Linked DNA regions of Callithrix jacchus. The protein of the gene in region 1 interacts with the protein of each later gene in a biochemical or structural test. Links are inferred from orthologs where the notes say so. Each region holds a gene or a part of one and is shown in the gene's direction. Other genes may lie near its edges. The genes, in order: AGO2, TNRC6A and DICER1.

What was found.
Region 2: the proteins of AGO2 (region 1) and TNRC6A form a complex in vitro, tested with the Homo sapiens proteins (2 studies listed by BioGRID). The link is inferred for Callithrix jacchus from reciprocal best matches to the Homo sapiens genes AGO2 and TNRC6A.
Region 3: the proteins of AGO2 (region 1) and DICER1 form a complex in vitro, tested with the Homo sapiens proteins (2 studies listed by BioGRID and IntAct). The link is inferred for Callithrix jacchus from reciprocal best matches to the Homo sapiens genes AGO2 and DICER1.

Annotation. Positions count from the first base shown.
Region 1 is NC_133517.1:56,993,389-56,997,038, forward strand, and holds part of AGO2 (protein argonaute-2), read left to right. Parts: intron 1-1,001; coding exon 1,002-1,161; intron 1,162-3,650.
Region 2 is NC_133513.1:25,409,113-25,412,762, forward strand, and holds part of TNRC6A (trinucleotide repeat-containing gene 6A protein), read left to right. Parts: intron 1-108; coding exon 109-249; intron 250-1,847; coding exon 1,848-1,955; intron 1,956-3,357; coding exon 3,358-3,579; intron 3,580-3,650.
Region 3 is NC_133509.1:129,909,928-129,913,577, reverse strand, and holds part of DICER1 (endoribonuclease Dicer), read left to right. Parts: intron 1-316; coding exon 317-1,205; intron 1,206-2,866; coding exon 2,867-3,135; intron 3,136-3,650. UniProt on the Homo sapiens protein: Double-stranded RNA (dsRNA) endoribonuclease playing a central role in short dsRNA-mediated post-transcriptional gene silencing.

The DNA of each region.
Region 1 (3,650 bases):
GACACATTATTGACACGTAAAAGCCATACTTCTCTCCTCCAAGTTCAACATCCCAAAAAAAGAAGGAAAGATAGAGCTGTTGTTGTTGACATCCTGGTGACATTGTCCTGGGAGTCGCTGTTTCCCAGGCTGCCCAGTGAGCAGCTGACCAGTTGCTTCATGAAAGAGGCCAGGAATAGCTGGGGCGTGGGGGGAGCCATGGAGCTCTTTGATGTCAGGTTTACATCTGCCAAGGATTTTGAGGGTGCCAGTGTTTTTATTTTTAACCACCCAGCATTTGCTTGCAGCCAGGGCACCGTGGTGTGAGTGGCCTTCCTTTTTTTTGTTTTTCTTTTTTTTTTAATTGAGACAAGGGCTGGCTGTTTCCTAGCCTGGAGTACAGTGGTGTGATTTTGGCTCACTGCAGCCTCCGCCTCCTGTGTTCAAGTGATTCTCCCGGCTCAACCTCCCAAGTAGCTGGGATTACAGGCACATGCCACCATGTCTGGCTAATTTTTGTTTTATTAGAAGAGACGGGGTCTCAAATTCCTGGCCCCAGGTGATCTGCCTGCCTCAGCCTCTCAGAGTGCTGGGATTACAGGCATAAGCCATCACGCCTGGCCAGTGTGAGTGGCCTTTCTAGGTCCTTCCTTGTAGCTGGGCTCTTTCTCTCTTGCTCTGGGGCCCTGGATTAGGAGTTTAAATGGTTTTGTTTCATAAACTGCAGGGATGAGTTCGACTCACCCAGCTTCCCTTCCTGAGGGAGGAGGGGAAGCCTGGCCTGAGCGAGGTGGGCACGGCCGTGCTGGAGCCTGGACTCCAAGGAGCACAGGGTCCCTCTCGGGGCCAGTGACCCTCTTCTGTTGCTGACCTTGGACAGAGGGGGACACACAAAGCCCAGCACAGTTGCTGTGGTTGCACTGCCAGATGGGGGTGAGAGGGCTGGTGGCAGCTGCCATGCTCGCGGCCAGATGAGGAAGGGGCATCAGCAGAGCTGTGTGTGTGCCTCTTGTGTCCCTTAGCCGAGGTCAAGCGTGTGGGAGACACAGTACTGGGGATGGCCACACAGTGTGTGCAGATGAAGAATGTGCAGAGGACCACGCCACAGACCCTGTCCAACCTCTGTCTGAAGATCAACGTCAAGCTGGGAGGCGTGAACAACATCCTGCTGCCCCAGGGCAGGTGAGGCCCGGAGCCTTCCCGTCCACCTGCAGAGCAGGCACCGTGGGACTCCTGGCTGGGTGGGGTGCGGTGTGCAGCGGGGCAGGGTTCCTTCACCTGGGCTAGCGCTGTCCTGACCACAGCAGAGAAAAGATACCTGACATAGATCTGGCTGCTCACGCTCTGCTAGAGGCCAGGGGCATCTGCAGGAGCTTGAGCACTGTGGCTGGGTTTCCAGGCACAGAAATTCACCCCTCGAATGCCAGTGGGCAAGGCAGAGCAGGGCATGCCTCAAGGGACCAGGAGATGGGCTTCCCACTCCATAGTAGTAACTGCTGTGTGGACCAGGGACCCCCATGCTTCCCACACTAGGCTGGGCATGGATGCTGCAACCATGGATGGATGGATGCTGGGACTTTGGACTGAAAGCTCCTCATGGGACACACTGTTGTTGGCAGCTCCCAGGCCAGGGCAGGACGTGTGGCCACCTGCCTGCCTCAGAGGCTCAGGGCTGACGGTGTGGGGAGTGATGGAGCTGCACCCTCTTGGGCACCTCCTGACCCACTAAGCATCCAGTCCGGGGGGGGCCGGGGCTTGCTTCTTCCCCTCCTCTGAGGCCACCAACCTGTGATATAGGCGAGAAAGACGTCTCCATGATGACCAGCATCTTTACCAATCCTGGCAGTTGTCTTACCATTTGGATGACAACAATAGAGAATACGTAGAATCAGATAACATGCGCATTTGTGCAGAAGGGAACCATGGAGGCTGTGGGCAGCCCCTGTGGCGTGGACCTGCTGGAGCTCGCAGTCACAGTGGGGCTCATGTGAGAAAGGCATCCTAAGCCAGTCAGGGCGCTAAATCCGCTTCGCTCTCACCATCACAGAGTTAAGAATCCTAAATTGAACTGCCTTAAGGCAATGACCCTCTGTATTTGGCAAGTGGGCGGTAGTGAGCCCCTGCTGTGTGCACAGGCCTGTGCTGGGTCACAGTGTCCTCACACCGGAACCCCAGCGGGGCTCATTGCCAGAGTGTCCTACTCAGCAGGACTGATCGGGGTCAGGAATTTCCACCCCTAGCAAGTGGACACGCAGTGCCGATGCTGCTGCATGCGGGTCCAGGCTTTGAGGGCCACCGAGTTACACACTCCTGGAAACAGTCCGTTGAATTCATCAGGGAGCAGGGTGATACCGTGGGAAGAACCCCGATTCCAAGTCGGATGGCTGTGGGCGTGGGCACAGGCCCTGCGGTGAGACAGTTTCGTGGGAATGAGCGAAGACCAATCCGGAGCTGCCTGGGAACTGAAAGTGCTGCTCCTTAGTCCACAGGTTCTGTATTTATTGAGTGCCTGCTGTGTGCAGGGAGTCTGGGCCATAATTGGGCAGCACAGGGCCAGAAATCCTGGTGGAGGCACCCAGGTGAGATGATCATGAGCCTATCACACAGGCGGCAGGTGCACAGCAGAGCTGTGGGAGGGCCGTGAGGGCAAATGGGAGACAGGCCCGCCCATGTGCAGCCCGGGGGCCACTGGGGAACTAAGTCTCCCTCCAGTCCGCTGGGGCCATCCGGAGGCACCTGTCTAACAGTGTGGCCAGCTCTGGCTCCATGTAGCTGAGAGGGGCTGGTGGCCTGTCCAGGCCAGAGCAGGGGGACAGGGGAGGGAGCACCTGGACTCTGAGCTGTTTTGAAGAGAGAGCCCCAGGGCTTTCTGGCAGGTTGGATTGGGCTGTGCCTGAAGGAAAAATCTAGGCTCTTGGCCTGGACTGCAGGAGAGACTCCGTCGGCATTAGACAGAGCGGCTGTTGGGAGGGTGAGCACCAGACGTGGGTAAACTGGACCCCGAGGGCTCTGCGGAGCATCTGAGCGCAGATGATGAGTGGACATTGGGAACCAGGAGGCTGGCGTCAGGGGAGACAGGATCCAAGAATCCTCAAGCAGACAGGTGGTACTCCAAGCCCTGGGCCTTGGAGAAGGCTGGAGTTCAAGGCCTGGAGTGGGAGGAACCAGCAGCGGAGATGGGAGAGGCTGGGGTGGGGAGGCCAGGCGAAGGGCCCTAGGCACCAAAGGAAGTGTGTCCTGTGTCCAGCCAGACGCAGCGAGGCTGGAGGTATGGCCGTGGGTCTGTGTGATGCTGAGGTCACTGGTGACCTTGGGAAGAGGAGCCTTGTTGCCGTGGCCAAGGGCACGTCTGACTAGCAGGGGCCTGGGAGCCAGCGTGAGCAGTGATGAGTTTGGCTGACTCAGGGAGCTCTGCTGGAGAGTGTGGGCGGGTAGTGAGTCACAAGCACGTGGGGACATGGATGCCTGGAGAGGGCAGCAGAGGCGAGGGCTCCCGTGTGCCATTTCCAACAGGCAGGGCTGGCAGAGCGGCCACTTCTGATGCTTCCTGACGTTGCCTGCAGCTCCCAGGCAAGGTTGGGTGGGGTGCAAGGCAGTGCACTCTCAACCCGGCAGCAGTGCCCAGAGGGAGGGGCTGTCAGCCTTGGCCTTTCCCCAGAGAGCCCGAGGCC
Region 2 (3,650 bases), on another chromosome or scaffold:
AAATATTTGAGAGTTGCATAGGATTTAGGAATAAAGGTTTTGGATTTCTAATAATGGATTTTAAAATGATGATTAAGCTTTGAACTAATTTTAAATTTCCATTTCCAGAATTTCGTCCTGGTGAGCCATGGAAAGGTTATCCAAACATTGACCCTGAAACTGACCCTTACGTCACTCCTGGCAGTGTCATAAACAATCTTTCAATTAATACTGTGCGGGAAGTTGACCACCTCAGGGACAGGAACAGTGGTACGTAGGGGTGCAGATCAATTTCTGAGTGAGAATTAACAACACAGTTTAAAAATGGTTCATGTAGTACCAGCTATTCTGGGAGACTTGAGACAGGAGGATTGCTTGAGCCCAGGAGCTTGAGGTTAGCCTGGGCAACATGGTGTGGGACCCTGTCTCTTTTAAAAAAAAAAAGAAGAAGAAGAATGGCAAACAATTCCCTATTTTCCCATAGGTGGCTTTTTAATTTGGCTACTTTTTAAATGATGAAGATTTCATCATCCTTAGTATGGCAAACATGTTATGTTAATTTAATAAGTTAACATGAAGGACCAGCAAACCTTTGCTTGCCAGTAATTGTGTTAACTGAATGACAAAACAACAAATGAAGTTATATACTAACTTGATACTGAGTTACAAGATTATGATTATTTAAAAAACAAGGCCTTATACTTAACTATTGTATATATTTATATACTCTGAATATTGAAGCACTTTTGTCTGGAAGAGCAAATTAAACTGTCTCAGAGAGTAAGAATAAGACCAATCTAAGGATCCCTGCAGTCCAGATGTGCTTTTTAATTGGTTAACAAATAACATTATCCTATTACCTGCCACAGTTACTTTTCACCTCAGGGCATTTACATGTGTTTCATCCATGATTTTGTACCAGAGGACTGTTAATGAAATGAATTTTTTAGATATTAAAAAATACTTTCTTTTTAAAATACCATCTTTACTTTTATAAAGCAAATGTGAAGCAGCCACCATGTTGCTTTAGACATGTAATTTGCTAAGGTAACAAGTGTCTCTGCACCAGCAGAGGAGAGTCCTCAGCATTGTGAAGAGTGTATTCCACAGACAGCTCTGCCCACTTTGAGGGACACTAAGCCAAGCATAAATTCTCACAGCATGGGAGTTAATTGAAGAATCTGATGGCCTATAGAAAGGCTCTGAAAGTCAGGAGAGTTTGGATTTGATGTTAAATCAAATAGAGCATTGACGGCTTTGAGTGGAAGAATCTTTAAGATGGGGTAATCTGGCTGTGGTCAGCAGAGTGGTTTGGGTTGGTAGACCAGGCAGGGAACTGGTATAGTCATCCAGATGGTGGTCAGGTCTAGAGCTCAACTAGAGTAATACTGAAGGGGGTTTTTAAAATGGAAAGCAACACCAGGTTTGGGAGCCTGAATATAGCGAGTAATGGAGACGGCTGAAGGCTCAGCTCACTGGCAGTGCCTGTGACTAGGTGCCTTAGAGAGCAGGCTAGCCAGTAAGACGTCCCTGGATCCCAGGGGCAAGTTAGGAGCAGCAAGACTCAAACCTCCTTTTAGACCCAGTGCTGGGAAGCAGAGCCCAAGTGCTGTCTTGAGTGGCTGCACCTCATTGCTAGAATGCATCCTCAAAGCCAGTGAGAACAAAATCAGAGGGAAAATGCCTGTGCCGAGCCAAGGCAGAGACAGCTGGTGAGCTTGCTCAGCATGCTCTTTTGAAGGCAAGAAGGAAGATGTCTCAGGCATCACCTTGTTTCCTTTCTTGTGGCATACTGTTAGACCTCGATTTCTCTGGAAGCTTTTGCTTTTTCTTGCTCTGGTGTCTGATTGGACTCTTCCCTCACTCAGGGTCATCCTCATCCTTGAACACCACGCTGCCTTCAACTAGTGCCTGGTCATCCATTCGTGCCTCCAACTACAACGTTCCCCTCAGCAGTACAGCACAAAGCACTTCAGGTGGGCCTCGCCTTCACTCGGGAAGGGAGGGTCATAGCCAAGGCCGCAGCTGTTGTTTTAATGCCCTCTTCTTTTTGTCCATAGTCTTCTCAGGGAGTTAAAAGGTTCTGTCGGTGAGCCTGGGAAATTATTTTTTAACATCGTTTATTCCTTTTTAAACTTACTGCACCCAGCGGTCATCTACTAAAATCAGTTTTCACTGAACCACTCTCACTCATCTGAGAGCCACAGCAGCTCTGTAATTAAATGTAATTTAATCCAAACTAGTTTTCAGACTATCTTCAGTGAAGGACCTTAAAAAAAATTGCCAGTGCTTATAGACTGATACTTTTGTAAAATACGGTAAACATGAACTCCAAATTGCTAGGAAAATGATGGCATATTGAGCTACAGGAATGTCAGGTTGCTATCGGTCTACACATGTGCACTCTGAATTTCTGGACTCATCCTGTGGCAGATTAATATGAAACTGTGTTGTGACTGCAGCCACACCCTGAGTAGCACTGACCTAATGCACATGCACTTTGTAAGTTAAGTAAGAAAAGAGTTGGTGGTGATGAAAGATAGGAATTGTTCCCCGCCCTTGCTGTCCCCTCATGCTTTTAGCATGACAGTTGATGTAGTTTACTGTGTACCTGGTCCCTGCATACCCACTCGTGTCCCCATTGCTTCAAGGCCGTGTGCATCAGGAACAGGCCTGCTGTCTTTTTCTTTTCTCTCTTTCCTTTCTTTTTTTACTCTCTTTCCTTTTCCTTTCCTTTCCTTTCTTCCTCCATTTTACTTTCCTTTCTTTCTTTTGCCATGCAGGCTTAGTTTTGAATCCTAGCTCTACATTAGACCCATAGACAAATTACTTACCCACTCTGTCCTCAGTAGACTGTGTCGAGATCACAGACAGCACATGCCAGGTGCCCAGCAGCCAATGCATGGCGCAGAAAGGCAGGCACCCCGTGAAGATCTCCTGTGACAGCTCCTTCGTTGGGGCTCTTTTGCAGTTCTTTCTTCCCTGAGTAAACAACAAAGTTCTAAAATTAAATGGCCTGACTTTCTTGAGTGACTCAATTACGGTTATTAAGAAGTTCACAATTGCTATTTTAGAGCAAGTCAAATTGTTTTCCATTTCACTCAGAGTACAGTTTTGAACACTGGCCTAGGAATTTCATAGGTCTTAAAACTATTAATAATGGATGAATGGCTTGAGTGTTTTGAGGGAGGGAAGCAGTTTCTTTCCTTTGGGCTGATTTTCTTTTTTCTCAGTGTAGTTTGATTTGGGGGTTTTAGTAGAGTTTCTTTTGTTTGTTAGATTTGCTTTCTGTGGGAGAATGGACGTCGTTATTATTTAAATTTCCTCCTTTCTTAAACATTATTCCTCCCCTCTCCATTTTTTTCCCCCTTTGAGTAGCCAGAAATAGTGATTCCAAATTGACATGGTCTCCTGGTTCAGTTACAAACACCTCTCTGGCTCATGAGCTGTGGAAGGTCCCTTTGCCACCTAAAAACATCACTGCTCCGTCCCGCCCACCTCCGGGACTGACTGGTCAGAAGCCACCCTTGTCTACGTGGGATAATTCTCCCCTTCGTGTAGGTGGAGGATGGGGAAATTCTGACGCCAGATATACCCCAGGTAAGATGCAGTACATAAGGTGGTTTCCTGTGGTTTATTTGCAGAACGCTAACCAGTACTAACAGTCGAAT
Region 3 (3,650 bases), on another chromosome or scaffold:
CTTAGTTGAAATTTTGCATTGTGGACATTAATTTTAACTTTATATCCATGTTCAGAATTCTTAAAGCTTCATACTGGATAAAGGTCATTTTATAACTTAGGAGGTGAACATTCAAAGAACATGTTTTACTTTGTTTATATGATTAAATAACTTATTTTATGTTAATTGAAAACAAATGGCCATGATTTTAAAGTTGCCTTTTAGTATTTGTGGTTGTCATTTGAAATTATCCATAACCCCTGCTTTTATTGAGTTTCAAACCCTTTTACAAACAGCAGCTATGTCTCCCCTCCTTCCCCATTCTCCCTTGTTTCAGACAAAAGACTGCATGCTGGCGAATGGCAAACTGGATGAGGACTACGAGGAGGAGGAGGATGAGGAGGAGAGCCTGATGTGGAGGGCTCCGAAGGAGGAGGCTGACTGTGAAGATGATTTCCTGGAGTACGATCAGGAACATATTAGATTTATAGATAACATGTTAATGGGGTCAGGGGCTTTTGTAAAGAAAATCTCTCTTTCTCCTTTTTCAACCACTGATTCTGCATATGAATGGAAAATGCCCAAAAAATCCTCCTTAGGTAGTATGCCATTTTCATCAGATTTTGAGGATTTTGACTATAGCTCTTGGGATGCAATGTGCTATCTGGATCCTAGCAAAGCTGTTGAAGAAGATGACTTTGTGGTGGGGTTCTGGAATCCATCAGAAGAAAACTGTGGTGTTGACACGGGAAAGCAGTCCATTTCTTACGACTTGCACACTGAGCAGTGTATTGCTGACAAAAGCATAGCGGACTGTGTGGAAGCCCTGCTGGGCTGCTATTTAACCAGCTGTGGGGAGAGGGCTGCTCAGCTTTTCCTCTGTTCTTTGGGGCTGAAGGTGCTCCCGGTAATTAAAAGGACTGATCGGGAAAAGGCCCTGTGCCCTACTCGGGAGAATTTCAACCACCAACAAAAGAACCTTTCAGTGAGCTGTGCTGCTGCTTCTGTGGCCAGTTCACGCTCTTCTGTATTGAAAGACTTGGAATATGGCTGTTTGAAGATTCCACCAAGATGTATGTTTGATCATCCAGATGCAGATAAAACACTGAATTACCTTATATCGGGGTTTGAAAATTTTGAAAAGAAAATCAACTACAGATTCAAGAATAAGGCTTACCTTCTCCAGGCTTTTACACATGCCTCCTATCACTACAATACTATCACTGGTAAGGAGCCCACGACCAAACTTCATTTCTGGGAAAATGAGACTTTGTGTTTATTGCGTTGTGTTGGCCTTGTAAAAAGTGATGTATGCGTGTACAGTGTTGGTGCTTAATATTCAAGGGATGGGGGGAACAAAAGGAAAAGAATTCTTTATTTTCCTTGTTATTTGGGGAGTACGTATTGCTTTATAACTTGGGTTGTTGGGTGTATGGCTGTCTTATATGCCCTGATCAACGTCATTTTAATGCTGCCTAATTAGAGAAATTTGAGCCTTAGTATTTTGGTGTGTTTTTCCTCATTTTATCCTCCAAATACCTTTCTCTTGCCCATTCAGTGCTGCTTTTGGTTCTTGATTTAGTTGTATATTCTGGATGTATTTCCACAGCCTTTTTTTGTTCTTCCTGGACAAAAAGACCCCTCCCTTGGGGTCTTTCTAGAGATGGATAGATTAAAAGATTAAAAGCAATGATTTCACAAGAAGGTTGAATGGGCCTTGCTGAGACTCTGCTGTCATCTACTTCTCATTGTGCTCTTTATTTTCCTCTCCTTTAATAGGCTCTCAATCCACTAGATTAGAAGGGAGAACAAGCCCCTCAGACCCAAATCAGCTTCAGCTTGTGAAACACAGCTGACGTTTACAGATTTCTATATAAGAAGAAGTGCCTGAATTCAGAATACCAAAGCGAAGTACAAAGTTTGTAGTTTGTATAACAAAAACAATGTAGGTTAAGGTGATCAGCAAAATATATAAACTGAAAAGTGAAAAACGATGTGACTCTGGACTAGAAAGACTGTTGAAACTGAAGCCTAATTTTCATTATGAAGAAATGATGCGTGGCTTTTGACTTCACTCTGTTGGAAGTTCTGAGACCTGGGTTCTAGCCTAGCATAGTCTCTGCCTCTTAACTCTGCTTATTCTGGGACAGGTCACCATCTGTGCCTGCCTCAGTTTCTTCAGCTGAATGGATTATTTTAATCACTGTGAGAAGCTAGAAAATAGAGGGGTTGATTTAACATTAATGATTTTCACATTTTGACAAGCAGTTTACCTGCCTTTGCTCACTTTCACAACTCTTCTTTCTCAATCTCTTGGTTTGTGGTAAATTAATTGCTATAATAGCTCAAGTTAAGAAGAGGGTCTTCTTTTCCTGTCATCCTGTTTAACAAAAATTACCCAGGAATGGTATACCAGAAATGGTATACACCCATTCTAGAGTGTAAACGAGACTTTAGCGATGGCAGCACAGCATAGCCACATGGGGAGATGTGTGCGGCCCTGGTTTCACTGAAGTGATGATGTGTGAGGGAGACTTGAGAGGAAGGCCCCAGCACCTACCCAGACAGCTCAGTGCCAGAGAAAAGCATTCAGTGATCATGATAGCACCTGTGAGATTTTCTTTTTTCCTTCTTAGCAATCATTAGTTTTTTGACCACTTGAAGATTTTATGACCCTAATTTATATAAGAAACATGTTTAATTTGCCACTAAATTTTAGTTTCCAGATGCTTTTTAGTAAGTATCATATGTCAGTTTCCTTATTGAAGAATATATGTATGAAAATATAAATGCAAATCTTTTTGGGATTTGGGGATCAGTTGCATATGTGGGGATAGTGTATAAATGCTTCTGCAAGAGCTCATGGTTCCACTTTGGATCCTCTCAGATTGTTACCAGCGCTTAGAATTCCTGGGAGATGCGATTTTGGACTACCTCATAACCAAGCACCTTTATGAAGACCCGAGGCAGCACTCCCCGGGGGTCCTGACGGACCTGCGGTCTGCCCTGGTCAACAACACCATCTTTGCATCGCTGGCTGTGAAGTATGACTACCACAAGTACTTCAAAGCTGTCTCTCCTGAGCTCTTCCATGTAATCGATGACTTTGTGCAGTTTCAGCTTGAGAAGAATGAAATGCAAGGAATGGATTCTGAGGTTAGTGCTGTTCAAAACTATGTTGAAAAAAGCAGTCTGAGTAGGAGTCGCAGTAGTTTCAGAGTTCTGACTGCATAGCAGTGTAAAGGGACATCGGGACCAGGAGTGTGGGACTCAGTGTGCTGTGTGTTCTCTGGGGAACACTGAGTGAACTGCAGTTTGCAGGTAGGCCTCTTAAACTTGTCTGCCCCCACTGTGGGCTGTGTGGTCACTCAGGTGAAGAGAAGGAGCCGGGGCCTTTCAGTTATTTACTCTTCCCACACCTTCATGAGGCGTGCCCAAGAAGTGGCCTACACTGCCTGGTCCCAAGGCAGGTTTAACTTTAGTGAAAGCCCAGTGTCATTTTGTCTTTTTTAAATGGATCAGAAATATTTGCTAATATCTCAGGGAAGCATTATAAATGTACATTCTGCTTCTACTTGAAGTGGGAAAATCTAATTTAAAAAACAAACTTTAAATTTTTGACCATTGGAATTTGGGAGGCTTCTATTGTAAGTTCAGCCAAAGGCTCTTTG